Caenorhabditis elegans: one gene and its partner. The protein of the gene in region 1 purifies or fractionates together with the protein of each later gene. This does not show direct contact. Each region holds a gene or a part of one and is shown in the gene's direction. Other genes may lie near its edges.

The links.
Region 2: the proteins of spe-40 (region 1) and Y62H9A.3 fractionate together in Caenorhabditis elegans (co-fractionation; one large-scale study listed by BioGRID). This does not show direct contact.

Annotation. Positions count from the first base shown.
Region 1 is NC_003282.8:3,740,008-3,757,090, reverse strand, and holds spe-40 (Ig-like domain-containing protein), read left to right. Parts: upstream 1-1,635; 5' UTR 1,636-1,671; coding exon 1,672-1,731; intron 1,732-2,267; coding exon 2,268-2,357; intron 2,358-2,536; coding exon 2,537-2,586; intron 2,587-2,635; coding exon 2,636-2,735; intron 2,736-2,825; coding exon 2,826-3,140; intron 3,141-3,184; coding exon 3,185-3,355; intron 3,356-3,408; coding exon 3,409-3,717; intron 3,718-3,761; coding exon 3,762-3,961; intron 3,962-4,322; coding exon 4,323-4,479; 3' UTR 4,480-4,508; downstream 4,509-17,083. Other genes in the region: best-20 (Bestrophin homolog), read right to left, coding at 351-488, 627-732, 774-849; ugt-45 (glucuronosyltransferase), read left to right, coding at 5,993-6,139, 6,262-6,337, 6,390-6,530, 6,817-7,175, 7,222-7,579, 8,298-8,800; E3 ubiquitin-protein ligase siah-1, read right to left, coding at 9,878-9,923, 10,069-10,123, 10,692-11,267, 11,524-11,757, 11,811-11,972, 12,768-12,954; nape-1 (N-acyl-phosphatidylethanolamine-hydrolyzing phospholipase D 1), read left to right, coding at 16,220-16,293, 16,340-16,744, 16,799-17,083.
Region 2 is NC_003284.9:11,873,276-11,888,259, reverse strand, and holds Y62H9A.3 (putative secreted effector protein), read left to right. Parts: upstream 1-8,288; 5' UTR 8,289-8,315; coding exon 8,316-8,375; intron 8,376-8,422; coding exon 8,423-8,672; intron 8,673-8,717; coding exon 8,718-8,772; intron 8,773-8,817; coding exon 8,818-9,097; 3' UTR 9,098-9,150; downstream 9,151-14,984. Other genes in the region: Y62H9A.7 (ORF12), read left to right, coding at 2,583-2,745, 2,791-2,939, 3,775-3,930; ule-5 (Uterine Lumin Expressed/locailized), read right to left, coding at 4,281-4,368, 4,416-4,598, 4,833-5,107; stha-3 (Conserved secreted protein), read left to right, coding at 5,378-5,437, 5,537-5,639, 5,690-5,744, 5,788-6,067; Y62H9A.4 (DUF4362 domain-containing protein), read right to left, coding at 7,088-7,181, 7,235-7,426, 7,766-8,118; Y62H9A.2 (uncharacterized protein), read left to right, coding at 10,064-10,352, 10,434-10,750, 10,795-10,842; Y62H9A.1 (uncharacterized protein), read right to left, coding at 11,018-11,094, 11,141-11,304, 11,610-11,851, 11,897-12,439, 12,532-12,606.

The DNA of each region.
Region 1 (17,083 bases):
CCGGCAGGTTACGGGCAACTGAAAAATGAGGCGACTTGCAACCGACAGAATATGGGTTCTAGAGAATGCAGCCAGCATTTTACGGGCTGATTATAAAGGACTGGGACGTTTTAAATCACTAAAATAGTTTTTATCATGCGACCGACATAAAGGGTTGTTAAAATGGCAGCCGGCACTTTGTGGGGCTAGAAAAAAGAAGGCAACATTTTATAGCACAAAAAATAAAGCAGCCGACATATCACATGCCTCCAAAATAGCTGTAAACATGCAAGCGACACAAGGTGCCGCGCAGCGACCGACGTATGACGGGTTAACAAAAAAGCAATTTACACCTCGCGGGCCCACCTTACCTCTCAATCCATCCCATATTGGTGAACGTGGTCCTCCATCTCTCCACAATGATTGAGACAAAGAAAGCTAGCATAAAAGTAAGAGGAATGTAGTTGTGAAGCTCCTTCCCACAGTAAAATGCCACGTCATTGAAGGAGCTGGAATTTTGAGCTGTGTTCCCGTGTATCTCCGCGGAGAAAAAATGTATCAACAAGTTGGAAACTGACAACTTGTAGAAAATTTTATTTCAGATACTTTTTTGTGAGAAAAATCAATTTTACAGAAAGTCAACTCACTCATAATAGTCATTCGGAAACAAGACTTTATGGTAGAGTAGTGCAATTAAAAAATAACTGAAACACCACATCATTAGCTCCGACGACACACTTTTCCAGATTGACCCTGAAGAAAAGTTTTAACTTCTGAAATCTAGAGCAACTCACCCTTCCATCTGAGCAAAAGCCGCAGAAAATTAGTAGAGGATACCGACGAGACGTCGGAGTTATAGGAGACTGTCATAAGAAAAACGTGACGCTGAAAATAAACCGGAAAAGTTGAGAAAAGCTTGTCGAGAAGGAGGAAAAGAAATAGAGGAGGTGAAAGACAGTCGAAGACAATCATAAAAAATGCTTGTACATATAGAAATAAATGTTGCGGAGATCTGTGAAGAGGGCGATAAATAAAAAAAAATTGTAGCGGAAGGCTTTAACTAAAAATGTGAATATTAATTTGAAAACTTACACAAAAAGTTGAAAAAAAGTAATTTCTAAAAATATCAATGTGTGCTTATGTTATCAGATTATGTTTCGTTTTTTTTTGGCAGAAAAACAAACCTACATACAAAAAAGTAATGAAAACAAAGCAACTAATCGTTTACAGTTGTAGCCGGCAAATTGCCTTCGCAAGTGGCAGCCAAAGCATTGCGGACCATAAAAGGACAGCCGACAGTTCACAGGCCTTCGCAAGTGGCAGCCAACACATTGTGGGCCATAAAATGACAGCCGACAGTTCACCAACCTTGACGAGTGGCAGCGAACAAAATGTGGTTTCCTAAAACAGCAGCCGACACTTAACATGCTTCTTAGAGCAAACTACATTTTGCAAGTTTATTACAAAGCAGCGGGCGCATTATAGCAAAGCTTATAGCTTAAAGTATAGGCTTTTTTTTTTGAAAATTCTAATTTTTAAACCAAAAATAAAGTTTTGCCAACAACTTATCGATACGTGTTCTCCCGAACGTGTTTGTGAGAGGAAAAATGAACATTCCCAAGCTTTCAATTTCCATTTTTACTTTCAAATTCTCTTTTCTACACAAATTATCAAAAGAAGCAAAAATAAACTATGTGGCTATTTGGTTCCGTCGTACAAATATCACTACTGTACACTTATTTGGCAATTGCGGTAAATATTTGGGGGATTTTTTTGCTATACACGGGAGTTTATGGAAAAGTTATCAACATACAAAATCAAAAAAAAACATTTCCCAGTTGACTTATCAGGAAAACTATAATTTTTCGCGGCGTGCGGATCTGAAATTTGGAAAAAACTTTGAGTTTCAAATTTTTCAGAAATTTTTAATTTGGACAATGCAATTACAAACCACATACTACAGTTTCTTAGAAACTATAGCGTAAACACAGATTACAGACTACAAACTACAAAGTACAAACTATAAACTATAAACTGTGAACTATAAACTACAAACTACAAACTGCAATATTAGCAAAAACTTGAAATAATTTCCATTTCTCTAATATTTTTGATTGTGGTTTTTTGGAACTGCAATCTACAAACTACACACTGCACACTACAAACTATAGACTAAAAATTACAAACTTTTTACTATTTTGCAAATTCCAATTTCAAATCGCAATTAAGAATTTCTAATTTGTAGTTTGTAGTCTGAAAACTTTAAAAAAAACCGTAATTTTTTACAGAAAAATGTCGAGCTGTCAGAAGAATTTGAAGCATATCGTGAATGTCTGGAGAAAGTTGAACGAGACATCGGAGAGGAGCAGAGAATAAAAGTAAGGGAAAACTGTGAAAAAATGGTTTTTTGGCAAAAAAAGTGATGTTTTATATTCATTCTTTGTATATCGAATACACGAATAAATTATTGGAGAATGCTGGGGTTTTCTTCCCCATTCAAGCATTTTCATGACAATTCAGTTTTTGAATGGGCTCTCTGAAAATATTCTTATTTCAGGTTGTGCACGCTGTCCGAGGTGCTGACGTCATTCTGCCTTGCTTTACTTGGTAATGGTTGAAAATTTGAAATATTTATTACAACAAAAACATTTTATAGTGTCTCCCCGGAAGACGGTGTGGAAATTGATTCAACGTACAAGCCGTCGGCTGGATCAGTTGGAAGAACTGTAAACTATGTCGTCGACTTTTTCAAACAGGTGAGTGGAAGGGGTTAGCGGGCTTTAGCAGGCCTTTAGTGGACGTTAGTGGGCCTTCAGTGCAAAAATGAAAATAGTTACGGTTTTCAGAAATTCCTGCGCTCCTCCTTCTCAATGCCCGACAAAAATCGCTGGAAATTCGACTGGCAGTACGCGATGATGGGCCGAATGTTTGTCCCACTGTCCAGTATGCATTTCGACGCTTCTGAATCGATTTCCGACCGGATCCGACGCTTCACGTCGAAGGATGAAGCCGAGTTTAAGATCGGGGATCGGTATGAGCTGGTGCTGAAGGATGTCGATGCGAATAGTACGGGGCACTACAGATGTATCAATCGACACGGGAGAAATGTGATTTCCAATATGTACTTTTTGGAGGTCTCAAACACGAAAAAAATCATTCCGGTTAGAATTTACAGGTGCTCAAATATCAGAACCAAAATTTTCAGTTAAACGGAAGTCTTGGAGTTGAGACGCTCCCTGCAGAAGTTACCCTGAAAAATTCCAAATTTGTGAAGGAAAATCTAAAAGTCGAAACTAAAGCCGGGCCATGGAGCAAGTGCAGTTACTGCTCGTCGGATCGTGGAGAGCAAACTAGGACCATAAAGTGCTATGTTGAGGTAAAGAAGTTGTAATGGTGTCAGCGGGTGACGTTTTTTTTCTATTTTTCCAGCCATCCGTCCGTATCTCCGCTCTAAATCCTGAGCTCCGATACCTGGGCCTCTACGACAAAATCCCGTGCTCCTCGACCCTGCTCCCGCTGGATCTGCGAACAAAACTGAAGAGAATCGGAAACCATCAGATCTTTCTCGAAACTCGTCCTTGCTTCGAAGAATGCACCGGCTCTGAGGAGATCAGCAGAATCGTCAATTCGTCTCAGGATCTGGGTGACATCAGAACCCTCGACTACCTCCCCGGCGGCGAATTTGTGTTCGGAAATATTCTGCCAAGGCTTTTGCCTCCGGTTGTGAGGCGGGTTCGGGTATGAACTTATACTCAATTTTTTCCCATTTTTTTTTATTTCAGCTGGTCCTCGAAAACGATCCTCAGGTGTTGTCCTGCCAGAAGCTTATCGATCTGAACGCGGGCGTCCACTGGTACAGTATGAAGTTCGGACCAGTTCAGCACACGAACATCCATGAGTTGTACAAAGATCGGGCGTACTTTGACGAAGAGACCAACTTGGTGTTTAGGAAGTTCGCGCTGGAAGACGATGATGAATACTTGTGAGTGCCCTCATGGCCAAATAAGGCCCGATAAGCCCACTAAGGCTTTCTAAGGTCCGCTAATGCTCGTTAAGGTCCGATAAAGCCCGATAAAGCCCGATAGGCCGACTAATGCTTGCTAAAGTCCACTAAAGCCTAGGCCCGTGGAAAACTGGCAATGTGCCTTGGAAAGCTGGCCCGACTTATCGAACTGGTAAGGCGCATTAAAGCCCGCTAAGGCCCAATAAGCTCACTAGGGCATTCTAAAGTCCGCTAAGGTCCGTTAAGGCCCGATAACGCCCGATAAGCCCATTAAGACTTGTTAAGGTCCGCTAAAGCCCGCAATGGCCCTCAGAGACCTCTTAACCACCATTTTTTTCAGCTGCTACTCGTCCAACAACATTCTCCTCGGCACCTTCCATATGCGAGTCGTCGAAAATGACCAGCACCACCAAATTATCGAAGTCGTGCGGATTGTCGTGAAGTTCAGCGCCTTCATTTTCATCTTATCCCTGGTTGCCAGTCAGTTGTACCGCTAAAATTTTGCAGTTGAATGAAGAAATTCCCCCTACTTTTTGACTCTGTTCTTCTTGTTTCTATGATTTGGTCTTTTTGGTTGGCAGGGGCAAACATGTATGAACTGTTGTGTGAAAAGGAGTGTAGGTTGTAGGTGTCTGCGTCTCTCACGTTATCCCGCACTCTCTCACCCGCTCAGGTGTGATCAGTGGCGGGAAAAGGGAGTGGGGGAGGGCAATTTTTTGTTTCTTGGTACATTTGATGTCCTTGTGCCCTACTCCTCAATTGGTACCTTTTTTAATCCGTTTTCATGGTGATGTTGCCTGCAAATTCACCGCTAATTTTGGTTGATTTAGACTTTTTAAATGTCTTTTTTTTTGGCTATATCTTTTCGGAATATTGAGATTTTGAAAAAAAAATAACGAGCGAAGTATTTAGCAGGAAATTGCCTACATTTTGGTAGATCATATTTTTATTATCTTTTTTTGTCCGCAGAGATATGACGGTTAGAAGTTTTTTGAGCTCCTTTAGCCTAAAAATTGAGAAATTTGAAAACAGTAAACTATTAAAATTAAATACTTAAAATTCCCTAGTTGTTAGTTAACAATTTTTTATATACGTTTTGTCCACTGAAATATGACCGTTAAAACTTTTTCGAACTTTTTTTTGCGTCTTTGTTTGAAAACGTTTTAAATTATTTAAAAATATAGATATTTAAAACAAATCACATATAAAAATAAAGTGCTTGAAATTTCCTACGTTTCGTTAGTTGACAACTTTTTTATAACTTTTTGTCCACTGAGATACAGACCTACAAAAAATGTAGTTGTTTTTCTCGATTTTATATGGGGCTCTCTTTTCTTCAGCTCTGCTCAATCGGTTGTCTTTTTAAAATTGCATTCATTATAAAAATTCAACGGTAACAAAACAAAGAACATAAAATTAACGGCATATTCTCAGTTGAAATTTGTTGTAGCTCCAAAAAAAAAACCTGCAAAGTTACAACCGGTAAAAAAATTTTAATTTTGTTTATTTCTCAATATTCCCAAAACCAAATAGGTACAAAAACCTAGTAGTACCTATTTTGCACAATGTTTTTCTTAAAAACCTACTTATTTTAATTTTTATCCCCAACTTTTTTGTGCTCCCCGTTACCTTGGAAACCCGCTGAAAGTTCTGAAAAATTCTCACCCTTTTTCTCAAGATTTTTGATCAAATTTCTGAACTTTTTGCACTTTGCGTCTAAGTACTTGCTGTTGAGAATTTTATTTCCGTGTATTTTTTAGAATAGATTTGTCAAATTTTCTGAAACAAAAAACAAAACAAATTTTCAATTTTTGATTTTTGTCATCAAAATTGATAAGGAAGATTTGTTATCAGTTTTGGACATTTTGTGATTACTAGAAAATATGTTGTAGTGAATTTTTTGTTAAATAGTTTTTTCGGCTGTTTCTAACATTAAAATTTTGTGAAAAACGTGTAATAAAAATAAGAACATGCTACTTGAGTTATTAACTTTTGAAATTTTTCCAGGTAATGCGGGTCTTGGTATTTCTCCTCCTGTTCGTACTACCAGCAGCTTCATGTTACAAAATCCTAGTGAGCGTCCCGAAATTCGGGTTCAGTCACATGCAGACAATGGGCAAGCTGGCAGATATTCTCGTGGAGGCCGGGCATGATGTGGTACGATTTTTGTTCTATTTTAGGTAGGTAGGCATGCCTGCCTGCCTACAACTTACTTCTCACATTAGCAAGTATTATCAAGCCGAAAAAATCCCCTTCAATATAAAAATCTATATTTCCAGACATTCCTAATGCCAGTCGACGTGCCAATCCCTCAAAATGGAACTGAACTTGCCAAGGTGGTCCTGGTGCCGACTAGTAAGTTTCAAGCTTTGGGCAGACAGACAAACAACCAAACAAAAATTTCCAGCCGACGCTATTAATGAGATTATGGGACATGCTATGAAAAGCGGTGCTGTCGCGAATTTGTGGACTCACTCGGCAAACTCAAAGCAAGGAATTATGTGGTCAACTGATATGATTGGACAAGTTTCTTATCATAACACAAAAAGTGAGTTTGGGGAAAAAATGTTGTAGGATTTTGTTGTTGGGCAGCTCTTTTTACAGCTATGATTTGAGATTTCGAAGTTTAGTGAAATTTTCTGAGAACATTTTTGGCACGCTTTTAGTTGTTGTATCTTAACTAAAAATTTAGATATCAAAACATGCTCAACTATCAAACTTTTCAGCATAAAATTTCCCACGTTTTGTTAGTTAACAATTTTTGAGTATCTCCTTTTACAACAAAGTAATAGCAGCCGACACTTCACTAGTTTGCAAAATATCTTAACTTCCAGACCTAATCGACAATAAGGCTTTGGTGCAGCAGATGAAGGATGAGAAGTTCGACATTGGAATTACTGAGCTCTTCGATTTTTCGGGCCTCGCATTTTTCGAGGTTATCGGCTTGAAAAATGTGATGGGAGCCCATACGACAAGTGTCTTTGAGGGAACACTCATGGCTACCGGAGCCCCAATTCTTCCGTCTTTTGTTCCAGCTTCGCAGACTTTTACAGATGATAGTGGAAGTATACTATCTAGACTGAACAACTTGTACATGACTTATTGGTCATACCAGTTTCAGAATAAGATTCAAAGTTTTGCGCAGAAGGCGCTGGATGAGCATTATGAGAAGGGCAAGGCGCCAAAGATTTGGGTAGGTTTTTGTTCTTTTCTTTACGTTTTTAGTGAAAAATTTCCAGAATCTCGTTAGCGACATCACATGGTTCTTCGTCAACTCGGATCCGATCTTCGATTTCCCGAAACCTCTTCCCCAAAATATCGTAGAAATCGCCGGGATTTCAGTGCCAGAAATCAAGCCAGTTGGCAAGGAGTGGGATGAAATTTTGAGCAAACGATCGAAAAATGTGCTCGTTTCATTTGGATCTATAGCTTCACCTACTACGATGCCTGAAGCCGTCAAAAAATCGATTGTAGACGCGTTTGCGGCGTTCCCCGATGTTACATTCATCTGGAAATACGACGATACGGAATCAAAGTTGACCGCCCATCTTGATAATGTTCATATTGTCAAGTGGATGCCACAGAATGATCTTTTGGGTAAGAAATCTTTTATTGTGTCAGCTGGAAATTTTGAATAGCGACCGAGATATGAGAGCTTGAAAATGTTATACTATAGCCCGTGAAATGGCGGCTGTTGTAATTTTTTCTAGGTGGAGATAATCATAAATTGTAACAAAATGTAGAAAATTTAAGTTTCATATTCTGCTAGTTAACATTTTTCAATAGCTTTAAAGCAACCGAGAAACAAACGTTAGAATAAATTTCAGGCCTGTCAAGTGTCGGCTGCTGTAACTTGTTTCTAGGTAGATATAATGAAAAACTGTCAATAAACAAAATGTAGTACAATTTACACTAAACATTTTAATTGTTAACAACCTTTGTATATCTTCCCTATTCGCAGAGATACACACGTTTATATGTATGTTTTTAGCGAAAATTATTAGGGGAGCCCAGTTGGCCAGTGTACTGTTTAACCGTCCGTATCTCCACGGAAAGGGTAGCTATCAAAAAGTTACCAACTAATGAAGTATAGTAATTTTCATGCTCTTTAACGTGTTAATGCTGATCATTTTGTTAGTTATCAAATTTCTGCCAAACTTTCTTCTAGTGTTTGAGTTACAAGGGTTTTTCGTTTTTAAGTTTTAGCAGGAACTTCTAAAAACGGAAAGCTCTTTGCAACCTTTCAATGTCGGCTGCTTCTATAATATAATTTAAATAACATTAAATCTTTTGTTCCTTATTTCCTTATTTTCAGCCGACAAACGAATCTCAATGTTCTGGACACATGGTGGAATGGGAAGCTTAATGGAAAGTGCTCAAAAGTCTGTTCCGCTCGTCGTAGTCCCGATTTTCGGTGACCAAATGCGCAATGCACAGATCGCGAAGAGACACGGCGTGGCACTGATCTACGATAAAATGGACTTGAGCAACACGAAAAAGCTCATTGGAGCATTGAAAGAAGTGCTCGAGAATCCGGAATACAAAAAATCGGCGGAACTTCTCGCGCGGATCCTTGCCACTGAGAGGTTCTCCCCGCGGCAAAAGATCATTGATACGGTGGAGATGGCTGGAAGGTTCGGGCAAATGCCCAGGTGGACGTCTGCTGGAAAAGAATTCTCGTTTTTGAAATATTTCAATTTGGATCTAGTGATCATTGCAGTTTTTATATTTTTTCTGTCAATTGTCTCGACGGTACTGTTGATTAGACACCTGCTCGCGAAACTTGGTTTCTCTGGAGATAAGGAGAAATCTGAGTAGAATTCGCTGGGAGAGATGGGATGTTGTATAAATTTCGTGCATTTTTTTGGTTTGAAATTTGAAATAAAACTTTATGGAATTATGAAAACCTGGTTTTTGTAAAGCAGAAAATTCTGAAATAAAAGAAATGTTTGACTAAAAAATAATTCTTTTTTTTTCTGATTTAGTTCCGAGTTTTCTAAAATTCTATTGATAGAAATGTGAAATGTTTCTTTTTTGTCTTTTCTTCAAATTTTCAGACTAAATTTTAACGCAATTTCTGTATTTCGACAGTTAAATTTTGCAAAATTTCGGAATTTTGAAATTAATTTCCAAATTGTAAATTTTAGAGATTTTTTTTGGTATTTTAATTGTTCATTTTAATTAATTTTAATGTTTTTGAAATAAAATCAAAATTATAAAAATTATTTAAAATTTTATTTGCACTCTGTTATAAATTTTGAAAATACTCAAATTGTGAAAAATTGTTATGATGCAAATTTTCCAAATAAAAAAAACTGAGAATGAATTAAATTTCTTTAATTTTGAAAAAAAAAATGTTTTTTCTCCAAAATTTCAATTAACCATCAAAAAAAGTTCAAAAAAATTTATTCAACATGATTAAAGTATAAAATCGTAAAAATTGGAAAGAAAAATGTGGCTATTACGCAAGTGGTTCAAGAGACAAAAAAAAAGTACAAAATATCGATAAAACAACACAGGAAAGCTCGTAAAATGTGTAAATCGAGTGTAAAATACAAAAAAAAAGAAATTTATAAACCAAAAAAAATTGAAAAAAAATCCGTAGTGTTCTGTGGTTATCCATTCCGAGTCATGGAAGGATATGCTATACAGATAATTAATATTTTGAGGCGGGGGCGGGGGGGGGGGGGGGGTATTCTACATTATAAAAAAAAATTAGAACAAAATATAGTTTTTTTTTCAGAAAAAAAATCCAAAAAAAAAATTTTTTTAATTTTTAAATTTTTTAAAATGTTCTGATTGTAAGGGGATTTTCAACTGAATTTTTTAAGCTTTTCATCACATTTTTGAAGAAAAAAATCAAAAATAATTTTATTACGTTTACACTGTGCATATCTAGTCGTACTCGAGATCAGAATTTTCCAACTCATTTGGGTGGCGCCTGAAAAAAAATCAGTTATTAGTTTTTTTTTTTTTTAATTAAATAGATTAAAATTGGCTTATTGAAAAAATGTGTTTTTTTTGTAATTTTTAAATATTTTCAAACATTTAAACTTGAATTTAAAGTTTTTAAATACAATTCTCACCTCTGTGGAGTATCTATTCGGCTAATAGTGACGTTGATTCCAAGGTTTCCGTTTTCTGAAAAAAAAAGTTGATTTTTGTTGAGGGTAACTTTTAAAGTTTATATTCCGGAACTGACAAAAATTTTGCTACTAAAGGTCGATGCACCATATCTCGCCCAACTTTAAAAACTTTTCAAAAAAACCTCTGCGGATTTCGGTTTTTATTTTTATTTTTTAATAGACACTTTGTTAATATCTTCAAAAATTGACCGAGTTTATCAATCTTAGAAATTTTTGGTCGATGCACCATGTTCAAAGGAAACTTAATTTTTTTGGATTTCTGGTTCTATCGAAAAAGTTCCAACTCACAAAATATTTGTTCTCGTGTTTTATATAGTTTAGCGGTTACATTTTTGTTAGCATTCACACACTTAACCGGGGTATCGGCTGTTAAAACTATTTCGGTCGATGCACCATGATGCACTCAACTATTCCAGCTGTATCCCTTGTCTAACAAAGTTACCAAAAAAATTGTCAACTCACAAAAAAAGCTGTTTTTGCTCAGTTTTAACAAAAATTGAAAGCTCAGTTTTAACAAAAATTGGTAATTTCCGATTAAGATAAAAGCAAAAGTCAATGCTCACCTGCAAAAAGCTGTGCAGCATTTGAATCGAACGCTAGGCAATCCGACTGTTGAATGGCCACTACCACCCCCTCGTGGATGCTTCTCGGTGTGGCTTCCCATGACATTCTCCGGCGGCTCGCCGATAGCTCAAGCCGGTACACAAAGTTATCAGCTTCCTTCTTCGAGCCAATCAGCTGAACGACTGCGTAGAACATCTGAGTTGGCTGAGCTGGATCGTACTTTTCCTGCTTCTCGAGCACCAACATAAAATTATAGTCAAAGCAGCTCTGCATCATAACCCAGTCAACTGCTCCAGGAAGATTGATGTCAGTGGCCAGGAAGACGATATCCTCGCCTTGAAGCGTCGTGATGCTCTTGTGGATCTTCTTCAAATGCTCCATCACATCCGACAAGCCTCCCTGCCACTTGCAGCTAGCTCCAGGGCACGGGCAGCAGTAGGGTCGGAATTCGCAGAGCTCCTCGTGCTCGGTCTTATCAGCGTGATGGAAGTTCAGGGGGCAGCCGGACGTAGAGAATTTGCATGGAAAGCGGACGGTGTTGGCGATCTTCTCGAGGCCCAGGTTGCGGACAGAAGCTGTAAGATTGAAGGTTTAGTCTTGAAATTTGAGATATACTCTGAAACTTTGAAGATCCGTAGATCCTTGATTCGTTAGCTACATTAGAGAAACAACACAGCTAAAATGCTTAGGCGCTCGACTGAGACAGATCGATCAACCAGAAAGGATCTTAGTCTTCTATCATATCAGCTCTGCTCAAGCTGTGGTAATTTTTTCAGCTTTGACTAAACTCTTCTAGTCACGCAATTTTCAAATTTCAACTTCAAAACTCACGAGTTGGACCCCGACAAGTCGGGCAGCACTGAAGCTTTGGTCTGCAGTTCGAGCAGACAAGATGTCCGGATGAGCACTGCATGTATGGTGGCAGCATGTACTCCAGGCATACCGGGCACTCAAACACCGACAAGATCTCTGCACTGCTGTCGTCGGTGGCTCCACCGCCGCCGATTGGAATATGTGGTGCGACGCTTTGGATTCCTTGCGCGGTCGTCGTTGTGTTGTGCGGTACTGGAAAATTTTACATTTTAGCGTTACAGTTCTGAAAATCAAGAAAAACTCACTACTTCCCGGGGGATTACTCTGAACTCTGGCCATCGTTTTGCCAAGCACTGCGGTTCCAGAGATTGTTGACACTGCAGACGGTGGCGATGCCGACATCCGAGGTGTCAATCCGATTTGACATTGCTGTTGTGTGATGCCTGGCGGGACCGGTGGAGGGTTGCCTGGAAAGTAAAATTTAATGGTGCTAGTTCTGGGCTCCAAGATATAGTTTCACACTTACTTCGCTCATTGAGCCAATTTTCAATACACTCAATAATAAGCGCATTCACTACGCAGCAGCAAGAACGCATGTGGGGGAAAATGCGATCATCATGAAGCGAGCGAGCTCTCCGAGAGAGTTTTCAGCAGGTATATAAAAACTAGGGAGGGGCTCCGAAACACCGCTTTACGATGCATATGTCGATTATAACACAGAGATAGAATAGCGAGTTTTCTCTCGGGGGTGGGAGTAAAGAGGAAATGTTGAGTGACTTTAATTGGTGTCGTTTTGGATGTGGGGGGGGGGACTAATGACTGGTGAGCACGCATGGTTGGAGAAAGCAGGGGATTTGGGCTCCGGCTTAAAGGTTTGGCTGGCTGAAGGTAGTGGTGTGTCGGAAAAATCACGTGGTGTCAGAAAAAACCCCTGCCATCACGGTTTGATCTACAAAAAACGCGGACTTTTTTTGCGTAAAACTTTCTTAAGCCAAATAAAATGAGAACTATGCGTCTCAACTCGTGCATTTTTTGTAGATCTACGTAGATCAAACCGAAATAGGACATTCTGGCACCAAGTGAAATGCTGAAACAGTGATCTTTTAATCATGTCTCAATTAATAATACTCAATAGAAATTCAAAAGCCGACTCTCTTGATTCCGTTGGACAATTAAGTCCTTTCTTTAATTTTGGGCCGTTTCTAAGTTTCGGGGATGAGCAGGCTTTCAAACAAGACTCAAAGTTTTCAAAAAAGTCTCACCATTTGAGTGATTAACCATATCTTCGACTAAAGAATTGCTAGTCTGATGTCTGGATAGATGATTCGCTTGCGGAGCCGAATCGCTACTATTATTATCGTCCTCCTCAAAGATGAGCTGTGTACGACGAAGAGACTCGATCACGTCCTGATAGTCTCCTCCTCCTCCACCACCGTTCCGATTACTCATCAGCGAAGGCAGTCGAGATGACGAGGACGACGATGTTGGAGGTGGTGGGTGGTTCGGTGTCTGCGGATGCCGCCGTCTTCCCGTCGTCTCTGTAATTGGTGAGTTGGTGATAACGAATTGTGAGTGTTTTGTTGTTGTCACGTGAGAAATAGTCGCTGGAGGTCAAATTGTGAGGAATTACGAAGAGAGTAAAGTTTTTAGAATAGGTTTGTTGAATCAGGAGTGGCACGGGGTCTCACATGGTCCCATTACGATTTGATCTACAAAAAATGCGGGAATTTTTCGCCCAAAAAATGTGACGTCAGCACATTGTTAACCATTTGAAATCAGTTGGGAACTCTTCGTCTCAACTCCCGCATAGTTTGTAGATCTACGTAGATCAAACCGCAATGAGCCACTTTGACACCACGTGGCAATTTTTTTCCGGCAAATTGCCGATTTGCCGTTTGCCGGAAATTTTTAGAGGGATTTTTTAATAAGACGGAAGCACTTGAAACAGTGTCATTTTGAAAGTTTTTTTTTCCCGTTTTCTTTAGATACATTCATTGAACTTGCTTACTTTTCAAAATAGATGTAGGAACATTCATAGGATGCGTACAATTTTGCCAATTTAAATTAAATTTCTAAAATTTCCAGAAAAAAATGTGGAAAACCACAATTTGCAGAAAAATGTTTGTGAAAATTTTTTGCCGGTTTGCAGTTTTGTCGGAAATGTTCATTTTCGGTAAATTACCGGGAAAGTTGTGCAAAAAAAACAACTGAGGCTCAAATTTTTTAATTAAAGATTTACTAGGAAATTTTGAAAATTTTATATTAAAATTTGAAAATAATCGCCTAAAATCAATGCAATCAAGAACAAAAGATGAGAGATGGGCTAGGAAAATCAATAAGATAAGTAAGGGATAAGGTCCGATTTTCATGAACTTGAATACCTAGTATAGATACTAGATTCAGTAAAACGTGATTGCAAACTATTTGAATAAGTGACTTTCTAAAAATGGAAATTTGAAACATTCAAAAAAAAATGTAATACATTCACAAAAATCACTGAAAAGTTAAATTATGGTTATCTTAAACGAAATAGTGATGAAATCCATGAAGAAAGTGGTAATTTTTTCGGGAAGTATCAATTTTAAGGTTCTATTGTCCACACAGACACTTTATAAATCAAGTCGCAAGCAGAGAACAACAACAAAATCTGGCAAAAGAAAACAACTTTACTATTCGCTTTTTTTTAGCTTTCTCTAAATAATATTTTCAAAACCTAACAAAAGGATTAAAACCCTCAAATTCGACGATTACTTTGCATAAATACACAATAGAAATACGAATAAGAGAGTGAATAAAACGAAGAAAAGAGGCGAAAGGAAGAAAAATATGAAATAAAACGCGTTCTGTGTGCGTACTCTCTCTCTCTCTTTCTCTCTTTCACATCTTTTCACCAACGAATGACTGACCGGGATAGTGTGGGTGGTGGAAGAGACGACAGAGAGACCGACGACGAGATGTGTGGGCTTGTAAGAGAGTCTCTGTGTTTCTCTACCAGCTGACATGCGAATGAGAATGAATCAAATCGATTTTTGAAGAGAGAGAGAGAGAGAGAGAGAGAGACGGTTGGAGGGAAGGGATGGTGAGAGCGATTTTATATGAAAGGCGTATCAGGCACCAATAACCTTTTTAAAGTAAAATTTCAAAAATTGATGGTCATGCACTGTTGGTCATATGGAAAGATCAGCTGTTAGGGTGACTGGTACCCGGGTCAGGTGCTTGTGCTCTCGGTGGTCGATGAGAGGCAGCATAGGGAATGTAGCAATAATAATAAAAAAATAAAGTGACGTTTTATTGAAATTCATATAAGGAAATGTAAGGAAATTATCTGAAGGAAATAATCTCAATAAGGCACACGATTATTTGTTGCTACAACTAGCATTTCAGTAGCATTGGAGATAGCTTTGCAAGCTTTAGGTATATTGTGTTGGTATCAGGCTGTCCCATATCGGTTTGATCTACAAAAAAATGCGGAAATTTTTAGCCAAGAAATATGTGACGTCAGCAGGCTCTTCACCATGCAAAATCAGTTTGGAAGTCTTCGTCTAAATTCCTGCAATTCTCATAGATCAAACCGATATGGGACACTCTGGCACCGCGTGGGTATTATTCAAAGTTGAGGCAGCGTCTGTGGGTTTCTTGCCCTAACAAGGGAAGGCTCTGAACTCGTTATCGGACTTCATTACGCCACTATATACATTCGATAGAGAATAGTTACAGATGATCACTCCAAAAAAATTTATCTTCAGAGCAGGTTCGACCAAGTTACGACATTTTGAAAGTGCCAAAATACCCCTTTTTAAAAATTCCACGAAAGCCCAATAACGTTTTAGTGAAATTTGGTCAAATGATTGAAAAATTATAGGGGTTTCCTTTTGTACCTCTGCATCAGAGGTATCAAAAAATTTCTCCAATGTTTATAACGGCACGTTAAACATTGTACTAGTTGCCGATTTTAAGATTAGCAAAGCTTCTGATAAGTTATCACTGTTTGATTGTTTGTTATATATGTATTACTTATTATTCATATGTTATCCAAAAATTGAGAGATTTTTCAAAGTTATAGTTTCAAATTTGGAAAGCTAGGGGTAAAGTTTTAGTTTTTTTAAAAGCACATATTTTGGAGTGAATCTAAATTTCAAAGTCAATTGACGAATGGTTCGAGTTTAACTAATTCGTTGTTGGCGCCGCGGACCGGTTTCGCGGCAGTGATGACACTGGAAGCAAAAAACTAAACAAAAAGTTTGTGTACACACAGACACACGCAATTGTTGTCTACAACCCTTTTTTCCTCAATTCGGTCTTGGGTCTCAGTAGAGCGAAATTGCACGTGTCTCAAAAAAAGAGAGGGAAATTGTGCTCACCGAGCCACGACACACTTTTCCGTGGTTTTTTGTGGTCAGAAATGTGCGGCGAGAGTACTAGTAATCCAAGCGGAGTATAAGAAGAAACGAGAACTTCGAAAATACCTTTTAGAAATTCAAAGAAGACATTTTGAACCCGAAAGGTGCTCAGCGGATTTTCCAATTTTTGTGCCTGCGTCTCACAATTTTCAACGTTCTCTCTATTGTTGAAAAATTGAGCGAAGTACTTCTAAAAAATTGTCAAAAAGTGGTTTTTTTTCACAAAATTTGTATTAGAAAGTGTTCGTTGAGATATATGATTCTCTAGGCACCGTCATTATTTCTAATGATAAGTTTATATTTATAGGTAAATAATGAGCCTACCGACAACCTCCTCACCATTAACTAACGATCAGGAATTTGCGAAGCCGGTGAGGAATGGAAAAATGTAGGTTCTAACATACCAAGACCCACGCAAATCCAAAATTTTCCAGATTTGAAAACCCGAAATCCTTCACCAACTGGGGTGGTCGCCCGGGACTCACTAATATCTTCAAACTTGTTTTAAGGGAAACCAGCCATGAGAATCTACCGAGCGACAAGAAGGTTCTAGACAGTACACTTCCGGTGCACAACATCACTGCAGATGATTTCCACAGTGAAAGTGGCCTATTTGCGACATGGCTTGGACACGCTACGGTACTAGTCGATTTGGAAGGTGTAAAGTTTGTGACGGACCCAGTTTGGGCTGATCGAGCGTCGTTTACGAGTTTTGCTGGACCGAAGAGATACAGGCCACCACCGATGAAGTTGGAGGATCTGCCGGATTTGGATTTTGCAGTGGTGTCGCATGATCACTACGATCATTTGGATGCGGACGCGGTGAAGAGGATCACAAAGTAAGTTTTTAATGTAATGGAACATGGTGCTAGAATTTTTAAACAACTTTCCAGCCTGAACCCTCAAATCAAGTGGTTCGTCCCGCTGGGATTAAAGAAATGGATGAAGAACCAAGGCATCGGAGCCGACGGATCCAACACCGTGACCGAGCTCAACTGGGGAGAGAGCTCGGAATTCGTGAAGAACGGGAAGACCATCACAATCTGGTGCCTCCCTGCTCAACATTCGGGACAACGTGGACTTTCCGATCATAACCACCGGTTATGGTCAGGATGGGCGGTGATCGGCGAGAATCGGAGATTCTACTTTCCCGGAGATACTGGGTTCTGTGACGTCGA
Region 2 (14,984 bases), on another chromosome or scaffold:
TGAAGCCAGAGAGTAAAAAAAAATGGTGAAGCCAGAGAGTAAAATATTTGGTGAAGCCAGAGAGTGAAATATATGGTGAAGCCAGAGAGTAAAATATATGGTGAAGCCAGAGAGTGAAATATATGGTGAAGCCAGAGAGTAAAATATATGGTGAAACCAGAGAGTGAAATATATGGTGAAGCCAGAGAGTGAAATATATGGTGAAGCCAGAGAGTAAAATATATGGTGAAGCCAGAGAGTAAAATATATGGTGAAGCCAGAGAGTGAAATATATGGTGAAGCCAGAGAGTAAAATATATGGTGAAGCCAGAGAGTGAAATATATGGTGAAGCCAGAGAGTAAAATATATGGTGAAGCCAGAGAGTGAAATATATGGTGAAGCCAGAGAGTAAAATATATGGTGAAGCCAGAGAGTGAAATATATGGTGAAGCCAGAGAGTAAAATATATGGTGAAGCCAGAGAGTAAAATATATGGTGAAGCCAGAGAGTAAAATATATGGTGAAGCCAGAGAGTAAAATATATGGTGAAGCCAGAGAGTGAAATATATGGTGAAGCCAGAGAGTAAAATATATGGTGAAGCCAGAGAGTAAAATATATGGTGAAGCCAGAGAGTAAAATATATGGTGAAGCCAGAGAGTGAAATATATGGTGAAGCCAGAGAGTTAAATATATGGTGAAGCCAGAGAGTAAAATATATGGTGAAGCCAGAGAGTGAAATATATGGTGAAGCCAGAGAGTAAAATATATGGTGAAACCAGAGAGTAAAATATATGGTGAAGCCAGAGAGTGAAATATATGGTGAAGCCAGAGAGTGAAATATATGGTGAAGCCAGAGAGTGAAATATATGGTGAAGCCAGAGAGTGAAATATATGGTGAAGCCAGAGAGTGAAATATATGGTGAAACCAGAGAGTGAAATATATGGTGAAACCAGAGAGTAAAAAATATGGTGAAGCCAGAGAGTGAAATATATGGTGAAGCCAGAGAGTGAAATATATGGTGAAACCAGAGAGTGAAATATATGGTGAAGCCAGAGAGTGAAATATATGGTGAAGCCAGAGAGTGAAATATATGGTGAAGCCAGAGAGTGAAATATATGGTGAAACCAGAGAGTGAAATATATGGTGAAGCCAGAGAGTGAAATATATGGTGAAACCAGAGAGTGAAATATATGGTGAAGCCAGAGAGTGAAATATATGGTGAAGCCAGAGAGTGAAATATATGGTGAAGCCAGAGAGTGAAATATATGGTGAAGCCAGAGAGTGAAATATATGGTGAAGCCAGAGAGTAAAATATATGGTGAAGCCAGAGAGTAAAATATATGGTGAAGCCAGAGAGTAAAATATATGGTGAAGCCAGATAGTAAAATATATGGTGAAGCCAGAGAGTAAAATATATGGTGAAGCCAGAGAGTAAAATATATGGTGAAGCCAGAGAGTAAAATATATGGTGAAGCCAGAGAGTAAAATATATTTCGAAGCCAGAGAGTGAAATATATGGTGAAGCCAGAGAGTGAAATATATGGTGAAGCCAGAGAGTGAAATATATGGTGAAGCCAGAGAGTGAAATATATGGTGAAGCCAGAGAGTGAAATATATGGTGAAGCCAGAGAGTGAAATATATGGTGAAGCCAGAGAGTAAAATATATGGTGAAGCCAGAGATAAAATATATGGTGAAGCCAGAGAGTAAATATATGGTGAAGCCAGAGAGTAAAATATATGGTGAAGCCAGAGAGTAAAATATATGGCGAAGCCAGAGAGTAAAAAACATGGTGAAGCCAGAGAGTAAAATATAGTGGGAAGCCAGAGAGTGAAATATAATGGGAAGCCAGAGAGTAAAATATACTGGGCGCATACCCATCCGCGCTCCAGGAGGAGCAATTTACCGAGTAGGTCGCACACTTGCCACCCCTAGACAGTATCACCTTCCATCTTTCATTACTGATGACCGCAATTACCTCTTGGCAGTGAGTATGCTATATGTTTTGAAATCAATTTTTGAATTTCAGATGCAAGAAACAATGCAAGGATATTTGCAATCGTCAGGACAAGTTCACTCTGACATTCACCACAAGAGCCGTCTCCACCAAGATCTTGATACAAGAAGAAGCCGGCCGTGGTTCGTGAAAAAAAACAGACTTTTTTTTTATTGTAAATGACTATTCAACATTACATCTTATTTTTCAAATAAAGCAGATGTTGTTCAATAAGCTGAAGTTTTTTCAGTAAAAAAACTCTCAATTAACCCAACACCCAGGTGGTCATTGCGCCAGTTGTCGTTTTTTTCCATTCGGGGATTGTAACGCACTCAACACCCATTTCATTTTTTGGCTTGTTTGAGAACTGTTAGGTTAAAGTTTTGAACATTCCTCCTAGTTTTGTTTATCTTTTGCTTATCAATGTAAGATCAAAATCAGATGTCGCTTGTGTTCAACGGCGGCGCACAACTCACACGACCTTGCCCAATTCGAAAACTTTTCTGGGCATCAAATTACCTTCTGCTTTGTTGTTGGGCTGTTTATGTATATTGTCTTATTACATATCTCATTCGATCACAGTTTTAAATGCTGATTAGTTTAGGATGTCATCTACAGCCATCAATCATGGTCAACCTGAAGAGAACAGTCGTTTCGAAATGGATGATGAAACTATTTGTCTCTTTGCAGAAGCTCTACGACGTTGCCAAAGTTTTCATGAGACACCAGCTTTTGCAAATTTGTACCTTGCCGGAGAATTGACTGCCAGTAGAAAAATTAATAAAATATTAGATTATTAAAAAAATGTTTCAGAGAAAGTCGCTATGATGATGTATCACAACAAAGTATTCCATCATTGTACTACTGTGGACCAATGCGGAGCTTTAGTCGCGCTCCTTAGAGAACATCATGAACATGTACCAGGAGATTGTCTCACAGAGGTTTTGAACATTTTGGAACAGGTAATTGTGATAAATAAGTAATCTAAGCAATTATTTTTGCCAAATGAGAGGCAGTATTTTATTTATATTGAAATTTCGCCAAGTCTGTTTTTTGATTGTCACTATCTGACATTTCATTAGTTTATGTACATATTATATATCTAAAGTTTAATTAAACAAGTGAAGAGCAAGTTGGAGTAGCGTCAATTAGAAAATTGTTATAACCATATTGTGCCAAAACGATCAATCTCATAGTAAAACTTTCGAACATTTTTCGATAATGATTTATTTCTAGTCAAAAACTGGTACAAGAAATGCAATTGCTGAGTTGACACGAAAGAATATATTTAAAAAAAAACGATAAAAAACGCTAACAATGAATGAAAATAGCTGAAAAACTGAAAAAGTACAAATAAATGAAGAAAATAAAATGAGGCAAACGCGCTCCAAGGATAATTTATTTCAGCGCATATTTAAAAAAAGAAGCCGGGGCACAAATGAAATTCGCGATTTCAAGCTCAAATATAAAATCAGGGAAATTTTTTTGAATTTTTTCATGTTGATTTTCGGAACCAGGGAAAAATTTGGAGTCATTTAAAAATATTTCCCAGATTTGGGTACCCCACCTTTAAAAAAATTACCCTATTGATCAAAAATTTACTTGAAGCATCTATGGAGTTTCTTCTCTATTACGTAGAATGTTGTTCACATTCCTATCTGTTCTCCTGATTTCTTACAACTTTATTTTTCGAGTATGTTTGGCTAGCACCGTTCATTGGTTTTCATTTAAAAAATTAGAATTCCTTTTTATTACTGTAAGCACATTCTATTTTTTATACTTTAAAATTTTTTTCAGTACGAAAAACAACGGAATAACTTGAGATCAACACCGTTGCCAACTTGCCACCATGTCGATACATGGTACAACTTGGATGAAATGAATGTGACTCCAATCTGCTGCTGCGACGCTGATCAAAATCACACTGATCTAGTATTGTACCCATTATTCTAATTGTATCTCGGCTTTCGCCTCCAACGGCCTTCATATTTTTGATAAAAACTAAACCCTCAATGTCATGTGAAAAGAGGTACAAATTTGAGCAAGAATCAGGCGTTATTTGGGCAGCCCTGTACTGATTCCGTACTTATACTCCATTTTTCACAAAATGTAACTGGAACCTTCTCTTCATCTAAACTTTAATTCAAAAAGAAGCATTAAAAGAGTCGGATCGAACAAGTTTTGAATTTTTTAAATGAACCTGGATTTTTCAAATCGAAGAAAACTGTCAAGAAACAACTAATACATAGCGTTATTTACTGAAAATTTTTCATTTCAAAAATGAAATATTGAAATATATGAGATTAGTATTTGTCTGGTGAGGTTGACAACTCGACGCAAACAACTGTTTTGATTTTGACTTCGTCTCCATTGTTAGCCACAACAGTGGTACTGAAAAATGGGACATTTTTATAATTTTTTAAAACAAAACCCGTTACCGGCGACCACGGCATCTTCCCACGACATCGATGTTAACTCCGGTGGCCAAGAGCACTGCGTCTTGGATGGTTATGTCTCCTTGCGAGACATTACTTCCAGATTTGTCGGCAATAATTGCATATGTTTTGGTATTGCTAGGGCAAGAGATTGTTGTGTAGGTTTTTCCGCGTCTTTCCATTTCACTGAAAAAGTTTTGTTTAAGGCAATGTGTGATCTGCTTGAAAATTGCCGAACTAATATCAAATGGTGAAAATTTTCAATTTAAAACAGACTGAATTACAAATTGTTCTATTTAAGAAAAAGGAAAACTTTTGTGTAAAAATAATTCATACTAAAGTTTTAGAACATTTTTTTTAATTCTTACTAAATGCTTTAAAGTCGGTGGTAATTTAAAATTTGAGTACTCTGAAACTCACGAAAATTTAGCTTTAACGCCGATGGATTTCAATTCCGATGGAAGATCAAACTCTCTCAATTTTCTGCACTCTCTTTCTTCACTGCTGTCGCTAGAGCTGGAGCTGGAACGAGAAGAATAGTCGTAGTACAAACGATTATCAGAATTTGCTGGTGCAGAATAGCTTGGATTATCGTTGGCTGGTGGTGAGTAGCTAGGATCATCATTGGCTGGAATTCCGTAACCGGAGGAAGCGGCAGCGGTGCATACAAGAGCAAGTGACAGAAGAAGATACATCTTTTGGAAAGATGAGACGATGGTTGAGTTTGACCGTATTTCATCTTCTTTTTATACAACTTTTTGTTTTTTATCTTCTCAAAATTCAATCTTGTCCGGGACAATGAGAAAAAAGTGATTCACCAACAATGTCGTGACGTTGTGATTGGTTTTGTCATATTTTACTTTTTTATGTTTTGAGAATGAAAATCAAAAAAGGAAAAAAAAACAAAAAGAACGCATATAAAAGAGATAGAGAGTACCCAGTTCAACAACCTTGTATTCAGCATCATGGTCTTCCTCATCCTCACAGTTGCGTGCATTGCCATGGTGGCAGCCGACGGTTACGGAGTGAGTTTTTACAAGTAAAATGACTACCGCATGTGAGCTAGCCTCAAGTAAAGTTTCAGAATGCATTCAGCAATGTAGAGCTGTATTATAAGTTTTCAGGCCGCCTCTGACCCATCATACCCTGCTCCAGGCCCATCTTACGGTGGTGGTGGTTACCCAATCTACTCTGATGAGGATAGTGATTCTCGGGAACACAGAAGAGGTTGGTTGAAATGTGTGCGCTAGTTGCATTTTATAAGTATCTTTTTAAAGATTTCCGTAAGCTGAAAGACTTGCACAAAACCAATGTCGTTGATGCCAGAATCAGGTAGATCACTAAACATATGCAGTTCATTAAATAACTATTGCAGATACTACAAGCATAGAGGAGATTATTATGCAGAAATTAGCTGCCCACGACAATCAGACAACAAGAAATACACATGGATCCTTGCCGACTCTGATGAAAAAATTCCATCATTTGGTATTGATGGAACTGTTGCTCTTGCCGCCGGACTCAATGTGAGATATGTTGCTAAATACTCTCGCCACGGAAAATGGTCCGGCCGCGATATGACAAACAGTGACAAGCAAAAGTTCCGTCGTGTTGGATGTCATCATGGTACTTTTGAAACATCATTGACTGTTTAATTGAGTTTTTATACTATTTTATCATTAAAAATAAATGAATTCTTCAACGAGAGCCTGTGTAGAATGAATGTGAGATAATTTCACCGAAAAGAGTTTGATTGAAAAATCAACACCAAAGACAGCTAAGTTAAGCAAAATAAACAATTCAACATATTTGTCTTTTCCAGCTTTTTTTGTATTGTTAGGAAAATGTGTTCGAGTAGTGGGCGGCAAAGAAAATTTTAAATGACCGAAACTGAAAATTCCCAGAAAATTGACAAATTGACGATAAAACCGCAACTGCCATACATTTTAGGCAGTTTGTTGATTCATAATTTTTTATTATAAGTTTCTAAATTTCTCATTTAAACTAAAAACTTAAGCGCGTCCTACAAATTTTTCTATAAACTAGGGCTCCCATGCGGTCGCCGCGACGGCCTCACGGCGTCACCCACGCCGCATTTATAGTGAGGCGCGGACCTCCGAACGTGTCGACCGCTTGCAAACAACCACCTCTTCGCACTATGTTGCACACACACCAAGCTACTCATTTCACGCAATTTGTTGGCTTTTTGATATTTGCCAACAAATCTTTTATATGTAGTACAACGGTACCTCAATTATGAGAGGAGTCCAGTCAACAGAAATATCATAACTTGGTTCCATGGAAAAACTGCGGAAAACTAACATTTGCAAATTTGATGAGTTCACTTCCTCGTGAAAAAAACAATAGGACTTTTAGAGTGCATTCAGTAAATTGTTCTAAAGGAGCGGATGAAAAAAAAAACTGTCTTACATTCAATAAAGTACAAGTAAAACCCTTTTTAATCTAACGAATGCGAAAAGAATTATCGCACTACTTTTCTTCCATATTTGGATGATCATAGAATGAATTTCATTGTCTCATTGAAATTTAGTTAAAGTATTTTCTTTACATAATTATCCAAATTTGAACTTTTTTTTTGTTTCACATTCTGTAACAAATTTGACTTTAAACTTTATCAACCAAAAACTCGTAAAACATTTAAATAAACAGAATCATTAAAATCCTGTCAATGGTCTTGGTCCGGGAAGTTCAACGCATGTGACTTTTCGGATTGCTACTTCTCTGTCGTTGAATGATTTTCCAACAAAACTGAAATTTAGACTTTGAATATAAAAACAACAAGTTGACTTAATACGGCTCACTTTTTGTCGTCGCATTTCGCAACGTAGTCGAAATTATATCCCGATGCAAGGAGAATAGTGTCTTGAATGACGAATTCTGTCTCAAACTTGAAAGATGCGTCTGTTCCTTCCTTTTTTGCTACAAGGGCATATGGTTTTCCACTGTTTGGACAGGCGATAATGTTGTAGGTCTTCCCCTTACGCTCTACTGTTCTGTAAAAAAACAACTTTTTGAACCATTGGAAAATAATTTATAGTCAAAATGAAACAGAACAAAATTAGCCCGTGATATAATTAATTATACAAACTTTGCGAAAACTTTAGTTTTGCTCTCACATCACGAAACAATTGAACGAAAAAGTAAATGCAATATGTATATTTTTTCTATAACGAGTATTGAGAACGAAATATGTGAATGTTTCTATTTTGTCGGGTTTTATGTTTAAAACGTCTTATTTTCTCTAAAACTTTTTCCAACGTTGATCAGTTAGTTTCATTTTGCAAAAATATTCGAAAAAAAGCTAACTTATGGTATTTTTTGTGATAACTCACTTGATGTCAGCACGAGCGGTTCTGTGCTTATGAACAGAAAAGTGTTTGATTTCCTTGCATTGTTCATACTCATTTTGTTCATATACATTGTTTGGTGGTCTATACTCGTTTCCATTGGTACCGTAGTTCGTTGCAGGTGGTTGTGGCGCATATACACCTGGATATTCTGGGTAACGCTCATCTGAGTTCGATCTTGATTTTAATTCATTCTCAGAAGAATCCGATGAGTCAGAAGTAGAGTATCGATTGTTTGAATGATGTCCAGGATAGTGAGAAATTGTACCATAATCATTGTATTGGTTCGCAGATACGACGACCGCACATGCGATCACAGATAAAAAGAGAGCATACATAGTGAACAATTTCGCTGAATTGTGCGTCACCTCTACTTGATTTTATAGACGATTTTGTTGAATCGTCGACAAAGTTTAATCTGGAATATGGATCACATCACATCATACGTTTTCTAAACATATGATTCATGCGAAATCTAGACCAAATATAAAACGGTCCTCAACAGAGGAGAGCCATACATCGGTGCTCTGCCAAGATGAAATATTTTGTTTCGCTTGTATTACTTGCTGCTGTGGCTTCTGCAGAATACCAGATTGTGACATACTATTGCAATTTAAAGTATATTTATATTAATGATTACAGAACGAGAAGTCCTACTCAGGTGAAGTTGAAGTTGAAGACTACCCAAGACCAACAAAGAAACCAACGTACTCGGTGCCGGATCTAGGACCACTTCCACCAGCATCATACCCAGTTCCAAATTTCCCTAATAGTTGGCCGCTTCCGCCAGCTTCACGACTAGTTCCAATTCCACAAGAATATCCAGCTCCGTTCCCCCCAGGACCATATCCTGACTCAGAAAATGGGGGATCGTATCCACCACGCAACTATGGTGAGTTCTCAACTGTATTCTCATTTTAAAAGTTTAAACAATCAGAAGTCAAAAAATTGAAAGATCTTCGTGGTGAAAAAATTGTTGAAGCCCGTGTTAGGTGAGCAAATCCAAGTTGCAAGAAGAATTATACATTCAAATTTAGATACTACACATATGATAACACCCATTACGCCGTCATTTCATGCCCCAGAAATCCAACTCCAGGAGCATACACATGGATTTTGGTGGACTCGAAGAAAGAAATTCTACCATTTAATGTTCCTGGAACAGTAGCGTTGACAGGAGGTATCAACGTTGACTACTTAGCCAAATATGGAACTAAAGGCAAATGGGAAGGAAAAGATTTGACCAATGATAAGAAACACAGGTTCCGTCGAGTTGGATGCCTTCACGGAAATACTATGTCGTACATTCAACATTAAACTTTATCAGTTTAAACAATACATTATGAAGAAAAATAAATGTTAATTTGAGCTTTCAAAGAAAACCAATTAGTTTTGAACACAAACGGAAAAGTTAATGAAACGCTAATCGTTTCTCAAATACCCGGCGTTTAATTTTTGAAACTACTTAAAAGTACATTCCTAAGCCAAACAATAAAAGCGCATCTGTTTATACTTATAATGGAGTTGCTTTTCAAAAACAGACAGACTCTTTTCACTAAGATTCTTTTAACTTCAAGGCGCTTATTGATATTATGATCAACTAAAGGAATCAAATAATTTCATCAATTCCGTTCCGTCAGAAAACAAATAAGAAAGTTTCAGGAAATTCACCCAGATTTTTCAATAATATACGGTATTCTCCATGTGTCAATTTTATATTACATTTACAGAAAAATGGAACAATCTCCTAAAAACAATCATTTTTCACATTAAATATAGGGAGCCGGGAGGACAGAGCTATAAATTCTCAAGATGGAAATATTCATTTTCTATATACTATTTTCCACCGTTTCCCCACTCAATTTTCAATTTCTGTTGATATAATCTCCCAGTAAAAAAAACGAAAATTTTCATTTTTGAATTTCTAGCTTCATGAATAATTTATTTCAACAATCTCATTTTCAACAATGGGCTTCATTTTCTGTTTTCAATTATTAGTTGTCATAATGTTTATTTGTTTGCAAATTTGCTTTCAGTTAAACCAACCCTTCCGATTATGAAAGTGTCCCGTTGTAACTAATCTCATCCTTCAAAATAGATGTCTTTCCGGTAGTATCGGTTTTCTACTAACATAAGTTCATAAAAAATACAATTTATTTTGTTTCCTGGGTGTGAGTAATCCCCCGCTGGCTTCAGTAGATGTTGGCAACGGTTTTTCAACAAAACTACCTAGTTGATCAATTGATTGAAAACAAGGAACCGTAAGAATATTTTCAGGCGATCATGAATAATCTTCCTGCACTCCTTGAAAACTCATCAGTCCCTCGGCTTACTCAGGGCCAACAAAAGAGTGATAATAAACCTTCACTGATGGAAGATACACGAATGAGTGTCTCAAAAATAGTTAATAAGAATTCTGATTTCAAAAACAATTTTTCGTACGATAAGAGGGAAGCCAAAAAATGGACAGCGTTGCGAGCAGAGTGTGAATTGACTATTGAGAGAGTAAAGTCTCTTGATCATATTTTATGCAGAGGAAGTTCCAAAACGGACCTTGTTTATGCTCTAAAACGTGAGTTTATAAATGAAGAATATATTTCTGACTGATATTAAAATTGTCAAATCTATTTTGAAACTAATTCGCATTTTTTAGAATCTGCTCAAATCTACACTCGCCGTGAAGAAATGTTTGAAATTGTTGATTCTTCACCACCCAGTATCGACAAACGTCGGACTCTTGCTCTGTTATGTGAAATTCGAAATTTGGATGAAGATAGCATTATAGGAAAAACAATGTCAGCTCTTGATATGGCAAACGGTGGTTATCACAAAACGAAAATCCTCGAAAATATGTTAGAAGAGAAGGAAAAAGAACTAAAGACAAGAGAGACGGATGCTCATGACTTACAGAAGTCATTTCAATTTTCTTTCACTGAAATGGCAGAGACAAGTGCAAACTCTGAGTGTGGAGTAAGTTTTAAAAAGTTTTGAAACTTTAAACTGATTAATTACAGACAAAAGTCACTAAGTGTGCGGTCGCAAATTCATATACAAAACATTAGAAAATGTGCATGTAAACTTACTTCCGTCTTCTTTGAATTTCATGTGGTTTAATTATTTAAAAATTCTGTGATTTTATTTTTGTGAAGAATAACAATTTTTCAATTAATAGCATAATTATATTGCTACATAGACTTCAGAATTAAAGTGAAACGTTATAACTTTAAAACGTTTACATTAATAAAGTTTTAGAGAACCATACGGTACTCTATTTGTCGGTCTTGATGGAACGTGAGATGTGAACGTTGATAATTCTGGAACATATAGATTCAACCGAACCACTAGTCCAAAAAATCTTACGTGTTTGCGTTACTGCTTTTGGTTGGTTTCTTGGAACATACTTATGAAGACCCACTAGTTTAAAAAAACCATAACGAAGCGGTTTGATAAGTATTAAGTATAGGATACAGATAACTGGACATGTGAGTTGAGTTGGAGCTAACACTACCATTGCAAATGGAAAACTGAAAAAAAAATTATGTTGAAATGCAGGCTACATTTTTCTTGTAATACCTTTGTTTCAAGTATTTTTGTTTTCTTTGTAATTATTTTTCTCAAACTATACTTTTAACTTTAATTGACATATATTTTTTTCAGAAGATGAGAACATAGAATACTCCGTGTTTTTCATATTACTTTTGTAGTACTTGGCTTCACCGGAAAGCTTGGAAAATAATTCACAGTTGCTATAGATCCCTAATTTTTAATTGCAACTTTTTAGTTTTAGTCATGCGTGTTGAATCATCTTTTTTTAGTTTATGGTTCATACCCTTCGAAAGGTGTGTATTGCATCAATAATAATGCCATTGCTGTTGCAGCTGGAATTCCAACTAAAACACCAAACTGCAGCAAGTACCAGAGACTAATTGCCAAAGCGTTTTTGAGCTGGATCAGTGTTTGCTTAGAAATCATTTTGTGTATTTTGCTCAATGTTGTATATGATTTGAATGTTATCAATGGGATTATGATAACTACTATTGAAATTCCAATAAATGCTTCGACACTTAATGCCTGAAAATGTGAAAGCTCGCTGAAATTTCAAAGGAAGAACAATACCTTTAAAGACCATTTATCACTGACTCTTACAATTGCAATGGAATATTCATTGAAAAAGTACTTAATTCTGTTATCAGTTTTGTACAAGTTATCTCGATCTTCGTATTGATGTTCATCGACTCCAATAGTCATTAGTACAAAATTTACTATTGTAAATACAACACCAATGCAAACTCCAATCAAATTTGTTTTTGTTGAGCTTTGACGTGATATTCTATAGCAAATCGTGAAGTAGTTAAACCAAAACGAATAGAGGAAACTCATCGAACACAGGATTGCCAAAGTACAACAAATATTAAACAGATGAGCAGTGACGAACGGCCCAAATCGGAAAAATCCCACGGTGAGAAGTAAGTGATATGGGAACACGATGTACGGTTGGTAGACAAAACCCATATAAACACTGAAGACAACCGGAAGCATAAGGTTGCAAACAAGAACTTGCTTGTAATCCCGCTTTAAGGTTTTCCCTTCAACTCTTACTAAATAAAGGGTCAAAGCAGTCAGAAATACGTTAAGAACTGATGTTATTTCCATATATCGCTGGAAAAAAAGTGATTAATATTATTATTGGCCACCAAATTATGAAAAAGGAAAAATCGGGTTCCTTTCCCACAAGAACATCTTTAACTCACCCGCAACCAAACAAAATAACGTTCTTGCACAGAAATGGAAGTATAAAAACCAGGTAGTTGAAAATCGGATGACATGATTGTATAAACCGCAATAGAGACAATCTGGTGTGTTTCGACCAAATTGACTGACCAGCAGGTATTAACTGATAATAACCCGTTTGACAGAACTTTTGTTTTTGATCACTGGAGTTGTGAAAAATGTTCTGAAAACCTTTCATCATTTAAAAATCAAAACCTTTTCCAAGAAAAAACACATGAAAAGATCAGCTGAATCTAAACGTCATTAAGCATGTGGTATTTTAATACAGTCATTTGATTAGACAACATTCTGCGTTTCAGCTGCATGAGCAAAAGTTTGTGTTTTGATGAAAACTCAATTTGATAAACGAATTACACCATATTGCACGTTTTGATCAAATAAGTAAACATAAATAATATGGCTACAGAAATAGACAAAATAATTGTATGTTAAATGTTGCAAAAACAGGTGTACTGTTCGAGTACGCGTGCAAAAGATGAAAAATTCCAACTTTAAAATGATGAAAGGTACTTTCCTTTGTAGTTTATTTTTCTTGCTTACTTATTTCAAATCTTCTCACAAAAAAAATGTTTGAAGGAAGTATAAAATTTTCGAACAGTTAAACAGTTTTTAATTTTTGACCCCATATCAAATTTGCTCATGAATAATTCCGTAAATTTTCTTCTCATTTAAACTAGACTCAATGATGTCAACTAAAAAAAACTTGAAGCAGTGAGTCAAATTTATTCCAATAGACTAAAATATTACATTTATAATGCTGTTTGGTTGTAAGTGAAAAAAATAAACAAAAAGTGTCACGTTTAATTTTGGTCTTGATTCTTAAATTTCATACCAAAGATCGACCCTTCAATTATCGGGGAAAATAAATTATGTACTCAACGTTTTATTTTTACTTTTGAAACTTCATGTTTCAAGCTACATACACAATTTACTTTCTATTTGATAAATGCATATTGAATTCATAACAGTGATGTTTTTTTTCTGTTGGTGATGCTGTTTATACCTTGATACATATAGGTAAACTTAGGCTTTTTGGTATGTGATCATGATTGGACAATAACAGTAGAAAATTTAAAATCTGAAGCTTGAGTAGCTTTAAGATTTATTACTAATGTTTCACATGAACTTCTATTTTAGTTAGCAATTGGAAAACTAATTTTACGAGTATGGAATCAGAATCTAGTCGTCTCTGCGGGATTTGAAGTAACCACGAACATTTTTGTATTTTATCGAGTTTCTTTCTTGTTGACTCCGTGCAGATACAATTTTCTCAGTTCAATGATTGGCTCCGTACAATCAGAACGGCGGTTTCGAGCGATTTCAGAAGTTTCAAAAATCAAATTTCAAGGCTACCTAAAAAATGCTGAATTACTGAGCGTTCAAATAATTGATAAACAGTTGTAAAAGTAAGCATTTCTTATTGTTTGAATGGAATCAAGTTAGGGTTTTAATTGAAATTATGTCGCTTTCTAAAGTTATGAGACCTTTGAAAATTAGTCTGCAGCCTTTAATAGTCTTGTAGTCTATGTTAGTTTTGTACCCATATTGACCAATTGAAAATTAGGCTTGCATGCAAGTAATAGAAAAATAGAGGAAACGGTATATAACATTTATAAGGAATTATTTCGGTACTTAATTTTTTTTCTGCAACATAAATTTTGTTTCGTTTTTTTATTGAAAAAAAGACCTCCCACCAGATGGCTGACCTTGAAACAGAACAAAAATGTATGAACTTAAAAAATCTTTTCAGAAAAATATTCGCAGGAAACGCAAACTTAGCAAAGAAAAATACAAAATGCAAACATAATGACTGAAAAATGGGTTTCACGTTCAGTAGAAATGTGCACATGCAGCTTAAAGTTTAAGACGTCACATCGAACATAAATGCGAACGGCGTACGTATTCATTTGAACAACTCACACAAGCTAGGCGATTCAGATTGCCTGGTGCAAAAAAGTTAGCTCTCTGTAATATTAATTTTGAAAAATAAAGCTTCAAAAATATAGTTTTTATTTTGAAACGATTTCTCTCACTTCAGTTATCTCAGGTGTGTTGAAAAGAGAACGACACAACTTCTATCTGTTCACTCAGGGACGAAGAAGCAACCGAGACAAAGATTGCAACGACAAGCGATACGACACCAGAAGCTTCAAACGAAAGCAACAACCGCTCGCAGAAAACCAAAAAAAATTGCGTGTTCGAATGACCTTTCAAGGTTCAAACAAACGCCATTTGACCAGTCACCAAAGTCATGAAATGACAAGTAGCCAAGTACGAGTCTGCCCAAAAGAGCGAAGGGGTCGACAGTGCTGAAGCTTTCGACAATGCAAAAGGGAATGAAGTAACATAACTTTACGACTTGAAACTTTGGCAATCCATAAGCCAATGCTGAACGTAGTTTCGAACGAGGAAT